Linked DNA regions of Anolis sagrei. The protein of the gene in region 1 purifies or fractionates together with the protein of each later gene. This does not show direct contact. Links are inferred from orthologs where the notes say so. Each region holds a gene or a part of one and is shown on either strand. Other genes may lie near its edges. The genes, in order: CNOT2 and TNKS1BP1.

Region 1 (8,172 bases):
ATATACAAATAGCTTACCAGTGCAATTCTTACTAAGAGATGCACCAGCTATACTAGAGTAGGATTAGGCACAAGTGTAATCAGATTTAAGATGTCTGTTAGCAAAGCAAATTTAACAGCAGAAGAACCAAAAAGTAATGAAGAAGAGGGTGGGACAAGGGAGTAACAACTGAGTCCATAATATCGCCACAATGCCAGAACAGTTAACCTACGGTTGCCCCAAGTAATTTCTAACTTTCATAGGCTCAATAGGGTTTAGCATACCTTCAGCAGGCTTGGTTTTAACTTTCTTTTTCAGTTGGGACAAAGGCCTTGTTCAAATGCAGTTCCCTGAGTGTGGAATGCTGTGCAGAACTGAATTTATGCAAACTGGCTGCAACTATTTTTTTTTTCTTTCCTGGAAATTCTTTGGGAACTTGCAGTTAATCACTTGGGAACTGGCATCAGCACTCCTTGCAGTAGAAATGCCCTAGACCAGCTCTAAAATGATTTCCTTAAACAGAAGAGCATTGAATATATCACACATTTGTACAACCCTTCTCCGGGTTCACTGAAAACCCTTCGCTTTTGGGGGAAAGGGACATAAACCAGGTTTACAAATATGCATCCCTGAAGCAAATGGAACAGACTTGTGTTTGAAGAATGCACCATAAACATCCAGACTCTTAGCACAAAGAACCCTAAATGTGCCACTAAGATACTGAGGACAAGATTATATTTTGGTCCAATCACTAACACCAGTTGTCTTGGTGAGGGTAGGAAAAGAGCCTTTTTAATGGCTACTCCCACCTTTAAAACTCCCTTCCTGTTGTCCTTTTGTCGGCAGGCATTTTTATTTAACCAAAAATGTTGTACATACAGTGGGGTGGCTTTTTATGGGGTATGCTTTACTAATCAAACTAAATGTATATTTTAATTGATTTTAAAATGTTATTATAATAGAATTTTAATTATATTTTTAATTAAATAGCAAATGCTTTTAATTTATTCTATTTTGAAAGCAAAACAGTATATTAAAAAATCCTGGGGAAACACACATAAATATAACTATATATAAATCACTTAAAAAGACACATTTGACAAGGGCAAGAAAACTCCTCTGGGGAAGGGGATATTACTCCCATGTTGGAATTTCATCATGTCTGAAAAAGCCTGTTTTGTGAAAGACAAACCTTTACTACATGATGCAAGGGTGGCCTTGCTGCGGCAAGGTATGTGTTTGTGCTTGCAAAATATACCTACCAAGCTAATGTTATATAATGTGGGGTGGCTTTTTGTGGAACATGTTTCACTAATGTTATTAAACCGTTTTAAGTTGGTTTTAAAATGTATTATGACACAATTTTAATTGTTACTAAAATTTTAACATGTTTGAAAACAGACTGTTTTGGGGAAATAAGGAGAGAAGAGATGGCTTCTTAGCCAGGGCAGCTATGGCTCCCTGTGTTGGTAATGGTTAAAAGGTCCCTTCCAAGCTTTTTAGGCTATAAGGGGGTTTTTGGTCGGGCATGTTTTACCCATCTTATCCAATTACTGAATATTTTAAATTGATTCTAAAATGTATCATAATAGGATTTTAATTGTAGTCTCGCTCTGAAGGGAGGCATATACATTAACAAACATGGAAAGCATAGAGAAAAATAACCACATAGAAATCACCTTAAAAGACAGCAAACTCTTGTGGTGAAGAGGGTATTACTGGAATTTCAACCTGTCTGTTTTGTGAGGGGCAAAGAGAGAAGAGGTACCTCCCCGCCTTTACCACAGTGTTGGTTTGTGCTTGTTAAAGGTCCCTCCCAAGCTTTTAGTAAAGAGGTGGGGTGGGTTTATTGGGGGTGTTTTACTACTCTTTTACTAAACTTTTGATTATTGGATTTAAAATGTATTTTAAAATGTACTCTGGTAGGATTTTATTTCTTTTTTAAAGTTGTAGGCAAATGGTTATAATATACCGTTTTTCCAAATAGCAGCATGTACAAGTAAATTAAAGAAAAACAGGAAAGCCTCTCATATATATAGTGCCATACAAGTGGTCTGAAAAGCTACTACAGGTAAGAAAGCACACATAAACTCCTGTGGTGAAGGGATTCTTATTACTTGAATTTCACCTCCTCTGAAAACAGGCTGTTTTGGTGTGTGTGTTTAACATGTAGGGTAAAAAAAAATAATTTGCAGGCAGTCTCCAAATTATGAAAAGGATAGGTCCTGTAGGTTTGTTCTCAAGTTTATTTTGTTGGAACATGTACTTTTTAAAAGTATAACTCCAGCCAAATACACACACACATACACATATATAAGCTTTGGATAGCATAGGGGTCAACACCTCTGTGGGGTCTGTTTTGCTGTCTGTGCCGCTGTTGAGAAGATTCCACTTCCCTTTCTGGATTTTGGAAAATGTGGCTTGTTGTGGAGACAAGGATGGGTGATAAAGCTCCACTAGAGATACCTTTTTCCCCTGATCACTCTTCCAGGAGTGAATTTCCCTTCCCTTCTCCTTCCTAAGGATAGACTGCCCTTCCTGTTGTCTCACCCGTTCTTAATTATGAGTAGTTTGTAAGTCAGGTGTTTGTCACTCGAGGACTGCCTGTATCATTTTTAGAAGCCTCCTAGGGTCCCACTGAAAAGTGGCATATAAATTAAACAAGCATGCCTATATAAATGGCCTGAAAAGACACCATGTAGAAGAAAGGGCAAAGAAGTTCTTATTGGAATTCCATCAGGTTTGAAAATGCTTGTTTTGTGGGGCAAAGACGAGAAGGGAAATCTTCTCAGGATACTTCCACAAAGCTGTATAAAATCTACATAGAAGTTCTGGCAGTATGGACTTATGTAACCCAGTTCAAAGCAGATATTGTGAATGATCTGCCTTGATGATCAGCGGCTTAAAGAGCTGGGCATGTTTACCCTGCAGAAGAGAAGGCTGAGAGGAGACATGATGATTATGTACAAATATGTGAGGGGAAGTAATAGGGAGGAGGGAGCAAGCATGTTTTCTGCTGCCCTGGAGACTAGGACGTGGAACAATGGCTACAACTTGCACTATCCTATTCCCTTGTTCCTGTATACAGTTGGCGATGTTTTACAACAGTTCTCACCATAGGTTATTGAGTTGAAATTGTTTTATATGCTATTGGTTTTATCTTTTATTGCATTGTTTATTTTATGCATTGTTTTAGGCACATTGTGCTGTATGCAAGCTGCCTCAAGTTCCTTCGGGGACATGGAGGCTGGGTACAAAAGTAAAGTTATAGTAATAATAATAATATCACTCAAACTACAGGAAAGGAGATTCCACCTGAACATGAGGAAGAACTTCCTAAATGTGAGAACTGTTCAATAGTGCAACTCTGTGCTCCAGAGTGTGGGGGAGGCTCCTTCTTTGGAAGGCTGGATGGCCATCTGTTGGGGATGTTTTGAATGCAATTTTCCTGCTTCTTGGCAGGGGGTTGGACTGGATGGCCCATGAGATCTCTTCCAGCTCAATGATTCTATTATATTCTGGGGGCCCTGAATAAAATCTCACATTATCTGCTTTGAACTGGATCATCTGGCAGTGTGGACTCAGATAATCCAGTTCAAAGCAGATATTGTGAATGACCTGCCTTGACATCATGGGTGATATGGCCGTTTGGAAGGGAATTTAAGGCCCTTCCACACAGTCCTCTATCTCAGGACATCAATGAAGAAAATCTCACAATATCTGCTTTGAACTGGGTTATTTGAGTTCACACTCTGATAATGTGGGATTTTCTGCCTTGATATTTTGGGATGTGGGGCTGTGTGGAAGGGCCCTCAGAATAGATAGTGCTGAGAGCCTCCGAGTCAGGGGGCTCTTCCATAGAGCCCTGTATTCCAGAGTACCAAGGCTAAAAATCCCACATTATCTGAGTGTGGACTCAGGGCCCTTCCACACAGCCCTATATCCCAGAATATCAAGGCAGAGAATCCCACAATATCTGTTTTGAGCTGGGTTATCTGAGTCCACATTGCCATATATTCCAATTCAAAGCGGAAAATGTAGGATTTTTTTTCAGCTCTGTGGAAGGGGCCTCAGTGCTATGAAATTCGGGGATTTGTAGTTTGGTGAGATGCTAGTATTCTTTGGCCGAGAAGGCTGTAGACCTTCCCCACAGCCCTATATCCCAGAATATCAAGGCAGAGAATCCCACGATGTCTGCTTTGAACTGGGTGATCTGAGTCCACACGGTGGGATTTTCTGCCATGCTATTTTGGGCTGTGGGGAAGGGCCCCCAATCCTTCCCAAGGGGTGCCAGGGCAAGTCTTCCTTTCTTCTGCAACCGAGGTGTGTGTTTATGTTTGAAAAGGGCCCCTCCCTCCCTCTTTCCTTCCTTCCTTCCGTCCCTCCTTCTCAGTGGAAGAGAGGCCCCTTCCCTCCCTCCCTCCCGCTTTCCCCGGATGTCTGAGGCTCTCTTCTCGACTCCCACGAGGCCGCTCTGAGGCCTTGTCCTGGGGCCCTTCTTCCCTTTCTTCCTCTCCTTCCTTGCGAGGCCGTAAGCGAGGGCCCTTCTCCCTCGGCGAGGCCGGCGACGGAGGAGAGGCGCCGTCTCCCGTGGCCGCCGGACGGCGACGTCGAGGTCACGCCGGCAGCGTCGGGGTCAGAGGGCAAAGGTCGCTCCCCCAGCATCCTCCGTGCGGGGTGCTCAGCCATCTTGGATCCTCGGGACAAGAAAATTCATGCGGTGAGTGCGGCCCTGTTATTCTTTCCCCCGCTTCGGCGCCGCGGCTCGGCTCGAAGCCTCCTCAGGGAAGCGGCGGGCAGCCAAGGGGGGCTTCTGGCAGGCGCCTGCCCGGGTGGAGGCGCTCAAGGCCGGCCTGGTCCCGCCGGGCCGCTTCCGTTTGCTTTTGTCTCTCTGAGGGAAGGAAGAGAAAGAGAGGAAGGGGAGGAGGAGGAGGAGGGATGCCTGAGGGGAAGGGGGAAGCGGGCAAGGCCGCTCGGAGGCGCAGCGCTTGAGGACGAGGAGGAGGAGGAAGGAGCCCCGAGGCCGGCCTGCCTTCCCTGGCTTCCGAAGGGGAAGGAGGCCTCGCTCCCGTCTTTCTCGACTCCAGTGGTGGCGGCGGCGGTCCTTTATGCCCGCATCCGAGCTCCCCGCCTCCTTAGGCCTCAGGGTAAGGCACCCAGGGACCAGGCTTGCCCTTTGTACATGCGCAGAGGCTCCCAGCGGTGGCGGGCTTTGCGGCCTAGGGATCTGGAGGCTCCCGCCACCAAGCAGGCCTGCTCGCCTGCCTCCTCTTTGGCGAGTTTTTGGTGGGAAGGAAACTTGGGAGAAACCGGCGGCGTGGAAGGGTTTTGTTGTGGTTGTTTTGTAAACACGGGCCCACCTCGAGGGCTCCGCAGAAGGAAGGCCGGAGCCCTGGCCTGGGTCGCTGGCGGGACGCGAGGGGTCCTTTGTTTGCGTTGGAGTTGCGTCTCCTCTCGCCACAGAGCCGGGCCTTTTGGGGGACGGGACTCGGGTCTCCCCCCAATCCATACTGGGCAAGGAACGCGGTTGGGAGCCAGTTTCCAAACTGCCGCGGCCAGGCCACAAACTCCGGCAAAAGTGCGCCAAAGCAAGCCCTGAATGTGCCCCCGTGCTCCCCCAGTTCGTGCAATCACCGCCTGGGCCTCAGGCTGGTTCTGTATTTTTCTCCATGTAATCATCTGCACAGCGAAACCACTTTCTTCAGTTCCGGTTTGAAACTGCATTCAGTGGTCAGTGGGGATGTAGCCTTGTTCCACCCAGGGAGCAAACTTTTGCAAGCGTTTTCCCAAGTTTGCAGATGTAGACACACAACAACAACAATGCATTGTAACTATAAATTGTAGTTCATCACTCTCTGCTTTGAGTAGAATACATATTCCGTTGTAGAATTAATGCAGTTTGACACCAGTTTAACAGCCTTAGCTCAATGCTGTGGAGACCTAGGAGTTGTACTTTTACAAAGGGCCCTACCACACAGCCCTATTTCTCAGAATACCAAGACAGAAAATCCCACATTATCTGAGTGGACTCAGATCACCCAGTTCAAAGCAGATTTTCTGCCTTGATACTCTGGGATATAGGGCTGTGTAGAAGGGCCCCAAGTCTTTAGCTTTCTCAACCAAAGAATACGAGTATCTCACCAAACTACAAATCCCAGAATTTCATAGCACTGAGGCCCCTTCCACACAGCTGAAAAAAATCCCACATTTTCTGCTTTGAACTGGAATATATGGCAGTGTGGACTCACATAACCCAGTTCAAAGCAGATATTGTGGGATTTTCCAATTTGATATTCTGGGTTATATGGCTGTGTGGAAGGACCCTCAGCCATAGCAGTCAGTGTAAAATTACATTAATTCTACAGATGCTCCCCATAGGGAAGATTTCTTTACTCACTGTCTTTTAAAATAATACTATGATAAATAATTGTAGTTACCCTGTGATTCCATAATCTGTCATTCTTAAATTGCTTGAGCCCTTCCACACAGCCATATAACCCAGAATATCAAGTTGGAAAATCCCACAGTATCTGCTTGGAACTGGATTATCTGAGGGCCCTTCCACACAGCCCTATATCCCAGAATATCAAGGCAGAAAATCCCACATTATATGAGTATTTACTAAGATAACCCAGTTCAAAGCTGATACTATAGGATTTTCTGCCTTGATATTCTGGGATGTAGGGCCGTGTGGAAAGGCCCTGAATCTACACTGCCATATAATCCACTTCAAAGCAGAAAATGTGGTATTTTATTCAGCTGTGTGGAAGGGTCCTTTATTTATAGTTTACACTGGACTACTAAACATCCCAGGTAGTTGATGTCATGCAATGCTGCCTGTGTTTCTACCAACTGAAATACTAATAATTTACAAAAGAGGCATGTAAGCTTCTGACACAAGGCTGTAGGTCATTTTTGCTAGGGATTGGGGACATTTCAGTTTTGCAGTGTAATTAACATTGGTGTGAAAGGCTTTGAACTTTTGAAATCTTCAGCAAAATACTTGAGGAAAAGAGCTAGTCAGTCATCACATTTCACTTCTAACCAACTTGTCTGCCCTCCCCCCCCCTCAGTCTTAATTAATTAATTAACTAAGTATATTTCTATCCCACTCTATCTCACCCTGAGGAGGACTCAGAGCAGTTTACAATTTGGCAAAATTAAATATCACATTATACATAAGAAAAAAGCAATACATGACATAGTTAACTAAAAATCAATAAACATATAAATACAAATAAAAACAATTAAAACATATTAAGCATATTAAAACATCATAAAATGTATTGAACATTGCACCAATTCTGTAGTCATCATACAGTTTAAGTCTGTTTTAAAATTCTTTCCAAAACATGGAGGAGAAAGTGATCTGAACCTAACTTGCACAGTTATAAAAACTATACAGGCATTTATTATTTGGAAAAAAGAATCCAGCAGGTATTCATACTCCTAGCAGAGGAATCTGATATTACTCTTTGGACATGGTTTTTTTAAATGTATGCAGGGATTTCTTTCCCCTTCATACACTTTTTGGAAAAAGTTTTTAGAAGAAGTTACAGGTACTTACTGTGTTTTCTACCCACAGCACAGGTTGGATAAATGTTTAATAAAGATGGTTACTGCTTTTCTTAAACTTCTCATGTGAAGTAAAAGTTGGAATGCTTTGTATCACCAAGGGTCATTTCTGTCAGAAATTTCATTTTAGGATTGCATGATTCTTTCAGTCATTGATGCTGTCTTAAGTCCTTGATGTTGAGTCCTAAATGTTCATCAGACAACTGTAAAAAACATTGTCCTATAAAGGAAACACTTAGTGCTTATCAGGATACTTAATAAACCATACTTATTCAGCTATACTTTTACTGAAATACTATTTAGTATTTATGTAACTGAAGCAGATTTTTGTGATGTCTCTGAATAATTTTGTACCCTACACCTTGATTTTCACAAAGGAGTTTTGTGAATTAAGTCAATCTGCACAACCTTCACAAACTGAAATCTATGGTAAACCATGCAGTTTGTGTTAGTTGCAGTAATTAAAAGTTACCTGGAATATATGATAGTTATTTTGGTATGCAAATAGTGGTACTCAGAAGTGCACAATTTTGGATCTTGAGTTCACAGATATAACTTCAGTTTGGTTGAGGATCTTGTTGGTGAAAGATTGAGTGATTTTTTGTGTACAGTAGAGTT
Region 2 (7,975 bases), on another chromosome or scaffold:
ACCAAACTTGGCACACAGAGCCCCATGACCCACTCTATATCCTGCTGCTGTTTGTAGGAGGATGGCCCATGGATGATGGGACTTCAAGTACCTTCACTCACTTCCTGAAAATAATGCAGCCATTATCCAAAGACCAATAAAGACCAAACTTGGCATACAGAACCACCATTACCCACTTTCTCTAATAACCCGGGCAGCGCCGGGTCCCCAAGCTAGTCTATATATATAATAAAAGTCAAAACTTGTATGCGGAGGACAAAAGTGTGGCGGTGTATGTGCTCGCTTTCTGATTGGCTGCCACTGTGGTCTCTGATTGGCCAGCCTGAAAGTTCAAAGATTCCGATTGGCTGGGCAGCGGTGCTATTTGCATATGGTCTCTGATTGGCCAGCTTCAAGAGGAGCCCCTGGTGGAGAAAAGAGTTCATGACAGAAACGGAGTCATGAGAAGGAAATTTGCATATGGTCTCTGATTGGCCAGCCTCAAATCCAACATTCCGAGATGACAAAAAGAGGAAAGGAAAGGCCGGGGGCTGGGTCAGAACACTACCAATACAGACCGAAATAGGCACACAGAGCCCCCATCACCCACTCTACATCCTACTGCAGTTTGGAGGACTATGAACCATGGATGATGGGACTTGCAGTACCACCACTCACATTCTGAGACCGCTGTTAACCTTATCCAATGACTGATCAGGACCAAATTTCACACAGAGACCTCTCATGACCCACTTTACGTCCTGGTGTGGTTTGGCCGAGATGGACCGTGGATTATGGGACTTGCAGTACCATTGCTCAATTCTTCAGACCACTGCAACCCTCATCCAATTACCGATAAATACCAAACTTGGCACACTGAGTCTCCATGACGCACTCTACATCCAGGTGCAGTTTGAGGGAGGATGCACCATGGACGATGGAACTTGCAATACCTGCACTCCCTTCCTAAGACCATTACAACTGCCAACGATGATGGATCAGGACCACAATTTACACAGAGAGCCTGCATAACTCACTCTACATCCTGGTGCGGTTTGGAAGAATTTGACAATGGATGATGGGACTTGCAGTCACTTCACTCACTTCCTGAGGCCACTGAGACCCTCGCCAATGACTCATCAAGACTAAACTTGGCACATGGAGCATCAATGACCCACTCTACATCCTGGAGCAGTTTGGAGGACGACAGACCATGGATGATGGGACTTCAAGTACCTCCACTACCCAAGACTGCTGCAAAACTCATATAATGACCAATACAGACCGAAATAGGCACACAGAGCCCCCATGACCCACTCTACATCCTGCTGCAGTTTTGGAGAAGGGTGGACCATGGATGATGGAACTTCCAGTACCTTCACTCACATTCTGAGACCTCTGCAAACCTCATCCAATGACGGATCAAGACCAAACTTGGCACATAGACCTCTCATGACCCACTTTACGTCCTGGTGTTGTTTGGAAAAATTTGGAGATGGATGATGGGACTTGCAGTACCTTTGCTCACTTCCTGAGACCACTGAGACCCTCGCCAATGACTCATCAAGACTAAACTTGGCACATGGAGCTCCAATGACCCACTCTACATCCTGGTGCAGTTTGGAGGAGGACAGACCATGGATGATGGGACTTCAAGTACCTCCACTTCCTTCCAAAGATTGCTGCAACCCTCTTCTAATGACCAATCAAGACCACACTTGGCACACAGAGCCCCCATGATCCACTCTACATCCTGCTGCAGTTTGAAAGGGGATGGACTTTGGATGATGGGACTTGCAGTACCTTCACTCACTTACTGCCACCACTGCTACCCTCATCTAATGACTGATAAAGACCAAACTTGGCACACAGAGCCCCATGACCCACTCTATATCCTGCTGCTGTTTGTAGGAGGATGGCCCATGGATGATGGGACTTCAAGTACCTTCACTCACTTCCTGAAAATAATGCAGCCATTATCCAAAGACCAATAAAGACCAAACTTGGCATACAGAACCACCATTACCCACTTTCTCTAATAACCCGGGCAGCGCCGGGTCCCCAAGCTAGTATATAATAAAGAAGAGTGTTTGTTTGTATAGGACAGAGGAATTGTGGAGGGCGGAAGTGTATGTGGCAGCGTTCTGATTGGCTGCCACTGTGGTGCTATTTGCATATGGTCTCTGATTGGACAGCTTCAATAGGAGCCCCTGGTGGAGAAGAGGGTTCATGGCAGAAACGGGGCATGACAGAAGGAAATTTGCATATGGTCTCTGATTGGCCAGCCTCAAATCCAACATTCCGAGATGACAAAGAGAGGAAAGGAAAGGCCAAAGGGGGCTGGGTCAGAACACTCCCAATACAGACCGAAATAGGCACACAGAGCCCCCATCACCCACTCTACATCCTACTGCAGTTTGGAGGAGGATGAACCATGGATGATGGGACTTGCAGTACCACCACTCACATTCTGAGACCTCTGTTAACCTCATCCAATGACTGATCAGGACTAAACTTCGCACACAGACCTCTCATGACCCACTGTACGTCCTGGTGTGGTTTGGCCGGGGATGGACCGTGGATTATGGGACTTGCAGTACCATTGCTCAATTCTTCAGACCACTGCAACCCTCATCCAATTACCGATAAATACCAAACTTGGCACACTGAGTCTCCATGACACACTCTACATGCAGGTGCAGTTTGAAGGAGGATGCACCATGGACGATGGGACTTGCAATACCTGCACTCCCTTCCTAAGACCATTACAACTGCCAACGATGATGGATCAGGACCACAATTTACACGGAGAGCCCGCATAACTCACTCTACATCCTGGTGCGGTTTGGAAGAATTTGACAATGGATGATGGGACTTGCAGCCACTTCACTCACTTCCTGAGACCACTGAGACCCTCGCCAATGACTCATCAAGACTAAACTTGGCACATGGAGCTTCAATGACCCACTCTACATCCTGGAGCAGTCTGGAGGACGACAGACCATGGATGATGGGACTTCAAGTACCTACACTACCCAAGACTGCTGCAAAACTCATCTAATGACCAATCAAGACCAACGTTGGCACACAGAGCCCCCATGACCCACTCTACATCCTGCTGCAGTTTTGGAGAAGGGTGGACCATGGATGATGGAACTTCCAGTACCTTCACTCACATTCTGAGACCTCTGCAAACCTCATCCAATGACGGATCAAGACCAAACTTGCCACATAGACCTCTCATGACCCACGTTACGTCCTGGTGTTGTTTGGAAAACTTTGGAGATGGATGATGGGACTTGCAGTACCTTTACTCACTTCCTGAGACCATTGAGACCCTCGCCAATGACTCATCAAGACTAAACTTGCCACATGGAGCGCCAATGACCCACTCTACATCCTGCTGCAGTTTGGAGGAGGACAGACCATGGATGATGGGACTTCAAGTACCTCCACTCCCTTCCAAGGATTGCTGTAACCCTCTTCTAATGACCAATCAAGACCAAACTTGGCACACAGAGCCCCCATGATCCACTTTACATCCTGCTGCAGTTTGAAAGGGGATGGACTTTGGATGATGGGACTTGCAGTACCTTCACTCACTTACTGACACCACTGCCACCCTCATCTAATGACTGATAAAGACCAAACTTGGCACACAGAGCCCCCATGACCCATTCTATATCCTGCTGCTGTTTGTAGGAGGATGGGCCATGGATGATGGGACTTCAAGTACCTTCACTCACTTCCTAAAAATAATGCAGCCGTTATCCAAAGACCAATAAAGACCAAACTTGGCATACAGAACCGCCATTACCCACTTTCTCTAATAACCCGGGCAACGCCGGGTCCCCAAGCTAGTAATAATAATAATAATGATACGAAATCCAGCATATATATCACATTTGCTGTATCATATTGTGTTTTTGTGTCAGTAAAATAATAATAATAATAATGTGATACAAAATCCAGCATATATATCTCATTTGCTGTGACATACTGTGTTTTTGTGTCAGTAAAATAATAATAATAATAATAATAATGTGATACAAAATCCAGCATATATATTTCATTTGCTGTGACATACTGTGTTTTTGTGTCAGTAAAATAATAATAATAATAATAATAATAATAATAATAATAATAATAATAATGTGATACAAAATCCAGCATTTATATCTCGTTTGCTGTGCCATATTGTGTTTTTGTGTCAATAATAATAATAATATTCTTTTGTCTGGATAATTTACCATGTCTTTGCCTGTGAAACCCTTAGTATTTTGATATATATAGACTAGTATAAATAGACACAAGATGCGACCCTGGTAGAGGCTTGGCAAACAGCTCTGGAGGAGTATGAAAATAATTGGGATCCATTGTGGCTTGTAGAAAAATGAAGTATCTGAGCGGCAAGAACAACAATGTCTGTTCTGCCTTTTTCTCTCTCTCCTTCAGAGGCATTCTGCCTGCTTTCAAATTTCCCTTAAAAGGGAGAGACTGTGTGGTTCCACCTCCTTCGGCCTGGTGTTCAGATGCAAGCTACGGAGCAGGGCTGTTTACACTCTCTGGGCTGTGTTTCAGTCTCAGGCCGTTTTTGTCACACGGCGGGAGAGTTTTCCTTTTCATCCTCGGGTTCACTTCTGTTCTTGAGTGCTGAACTAGCAGAGCAATAGCCAGTTGGAACGGCTTCTGGCACGCACCCTCCCCATAACCCTGTTCCTCCTCCTGGCCAGGGTTTGGCCCTCTCTAGAAATCTAGTGGGAGGCTGTTGCCGTAGCGACGGGAGCAGGCCCCAGCTTTACCTCACTGAATTCCAGGGCCGGTGCCAAGCAATTGAGAAATCGGGAGGAGGGGGAAGTACTCCAGATGTTTACTCGCTGCTCTGCATATCCGGGTTGGGAGCAGACACAGCTGAGACGGAGGACCGAGCAGCAACGCTTCCTGTTGCTCGAAGGGGTGGAGAAGCAAGGGCTTGGAAAGAGAAGGGAGATTCGGGCTTGCAAGGCAGCCAAAGGGGAGTGTTGTGGCAAAGTGACAAAGGAAGGGGGAAAGGAGGCAGCACAAGAGTTCAAGGCACAGATTTGGCATGAGAAGGAGCAGTGTCTCTGGCAGGGTGTGACAGAGGTGGAGCAGGGGCAGTGCTGCGTGGAGCAGAGCAAGAGAAAGCTAACAGCTTTATGAGTGTCACATTCCCATCCTTCAACATGAGTCACGGCCTGGGTGCTTGCAAGAGACTCGCTCCCTTCATCCATGTTCCAGCCTGCCCTGGGAGCGGCCTGCCATGAAACCGACTCTGCGTCTGTGCAAAAGAGCCCATGGATCCCTATAGTTAAGTTAGTAAGGACATCTTTAATCCATATATCTCCTGAATGTGTTGGGATTAGAAAGGAAGGAACAACCAAAACAAAAGAAAGAAAGAAAGAAAGAAAGAAAGAAAGAAAAGAAAAAGAAAAAGGGAGGCTTATGCTGGAAAAGGAACCAGGTGGAAAGGTTATACCAAACTTGGGGGGGGGGGGGGGGGGCTTTGGTGTCCTAAGAGATAGGAAACCTTGTTAACCTGTTTACAGATTTATATTTTTCCACAGGTTGTCTAAACTCATCTTTTTCTGCTTTAGGGACTGACATTTATGTGGAGTTCTGAATCCCAGCTTGGTGATGTGATGGATCCTAAGCCCCAGCCGCTGTCCTCCCTCCTTCCCTGTACTGCTGCCAATGGACGTGGGGGGCCCAAGCAACCATCAGGCAACCCAGAGACAGGTATGTCCTGTGATTTTAGCCTTTAGCTTGAGGAGCAGTATCATTGGGTACACCTACACTGTAGAATTAATGCAGTTTTGACACCATTAGAACTGCCAAGGCTCCATGCTATGGAATCATTGGTGTTGTAGTCATACCTAAAATTGATAGTGTACGAGGTGGTAATCTCAAGCTTGAACTTCTGCAATGCATTTTACATTGGGCTACTTATGCACCAAGTTTGGAAACTTCCCTTTGTTCAAAACACAGCAGCCAGACTAGTTACAGGAACACCCAGGAGTGAACGTATTACATCTATACTATAGTCACGCTTCTGGTTGCCCCAGGCAAAGTACAAACTGTTGGTTTTGAACTTTAAAACCCTACATGGCTTAGGTCCAGGTTACATACAGGATCACCTTCTCCCATACAATACACCCTGCACACTTAGGTCCTCTGGGGGCTGCTACTCCTACCAGACAGAACTTGACTGTCACTCAGAGGACCTTTACATCAGCTGCCCCAGGTCTCTAGAATGACCTGCGAGAAGAAATCCGACAACTAAATTAGACCAATCTCTTCTTATACAGCTACCCAGTCAATTCTAAACTGAATTTTCTACTCATGTCTTGTGTTTGCTGTTTTAATTGTTGTTCTGTGATTTTTAATATATGTATTTCATAGAAATACATTTTAATAGATGTATTTAGCATAATGGGTTGTTGTAGGTTTTTTCAGGCTATATGGCCATGTTCTAGAGGCATTCTCTCCTGATGTTTTGCCTGCACCTATGGCAAGCATCCTCAGAGGTTATGAGGTCAGACTTCATAACCTCTGAGAATGCTTGCCATAGATGCAGGTGAAACGTCAGGAGAGAATGCCTCTAGAACATGGCCATATAGCCCAGAAAACCCTACAACAACCCAGTGATTCTGGCCATGAAAGGCTTCGACAATATTTTGCATAATGTTTTACAATTATGTGTTTTTAACTGTGTTGTGCCCCACACGAGCCTCAAGAAATAATAATAATAATAATAATAATAATAATAATAATAATATCTATCATTTTCTGCCCAAAAGGGCTGGTGCCTCACCAGACTACACATCTTAAGATTCCATATCATTGAGCCATGGCAATTTAAAGTGATGTCAAGCTGCATTAATTTGACAGTGTAGATGCGTCAATTGTCATTAAATCATGCATTGTTTTATCAAATTTATAGAGGCTCTGGATTTTCCTGTTTAGGGGTGATGGGTCATCTGAGAGTTGAGAACCAGTTGTTTTTGTTTTTAGATTACATGATATCGTTCATGCTTAATTGGAGTGCTGTAGGCTCTTACTTTTATATGCATGAGGAGGATTTTTTTCTTTGTCTTCTTTTTTAATATGGTTCAAACGTATATTCATCAACTGCTGTTTGCAGTGGAGCTCCCCCCCCCTCCAAGAGCTGTGTCATATGATTCTTCTTACCTTAAAGATATTACAGTTTATATGCAGTCCTGAGGGACTTCACAGGTGGTATTAGTAGTAATTTAGAGGCTCATCCAGTCTAGCTTGTGTCCAACGTTACATATCATCTTTAATTTTTCTTTGTGCTGATAGCACTGTGAGATTATAGATTTACAGAGGAGCAGTGCTACACTAAATGTTTCTGAGGTCTAATTGTTTTTTTTTTTACTTACAAATGAACTATCGAAGAGTGCTCTTAGTTTCACTGCCCACCAGTCCAGCTCTGTGAAATTTTATTCTTAGTCATGCTCCAGTTATACACAAATAACTGAAGCCTATCATGGGTAGCCATGTATCTGAATTTTGATGCATTGGGTAGCCATGTATCTGAATTTTGATGCATTGAGGAAGTGTTCATTACCTTATCATAGTGATTAACATCCCCATAGCTGTACCTTTCCCTGAATTAACAAGTGTATAGAACTTTCACAGTGGCTTTATGAGAAACATAATAGAAATGAGGTTTTAGATTTTGCTGTAATAGGGATGATAGCAAAATATGCCCAGCTCTAATCAGCTTCTACCCCATTTCTGTTTAATGCTGGTTGTAATAATCTAATGGAGAGAAACAATGGGTGCTTTTATACTTAGTGGTGCCTAACACAAGGTGGTCTAACCTGAGAAGAAACCACAGCTGTAAAAAGAAATTGGAGTAAAGGACTTGGAAAGAAGATGCATGGCTTTGTCATTTTTCATTGTCATTTGTCATTGGTTATAATCTGTCCTTTGAAATATGGTTTGGAAATTC

What was found.
Region 2: the proteins of CNOT2 (region 1) and TNKS1BP1 purify together in Homo sapiens (affinity purification with mass spectrometry; 5 studies listed by BioGRID and IntAct, with this or other methods). This does not show direct contact. The link is inferred for Anolis sagrei from reciprocal best matches to the Homo sapiens genes CNOT2 and TNKS1BP1.

The regions. Positions count from the first base shown.
Region 1 is NC_090025.1:143,578,958-143,587,129, forward strand, and holds the start of CNOT2 (CCR4-NOT transcription complex subunit 2), read left to right. Parts: upstream 1-4,945; 5' UTR 4,946-5,087; coding exon 5,088-5,126; intron 5,127-8,172. UniProt on the Homo sapiens protein: Component of the CCR4-NOT complex which is one of the major cellular mRNA deadenylases and is linked to various cellular processes including bulk mRNA degradation, miRNA-mediated repression, translational repression during translational initiation and general transcription regulation.
Region 2 is NC_090021.1:233,714,058-233,722,032, reverse strand, and holds the start of TNKS1BP1 (182 kDa tankyrase-1-binding protein), read left to right. Parts: upstream 1-4,851; 5' UTR 4,852-5,229; coding exon 5,230-5,316; intron 5,317-5,357; exon of another isoform or gene 5,358-5,461; intron 5,462-5,594; coding exon 5,595-5,736; intron 5,737-7,975.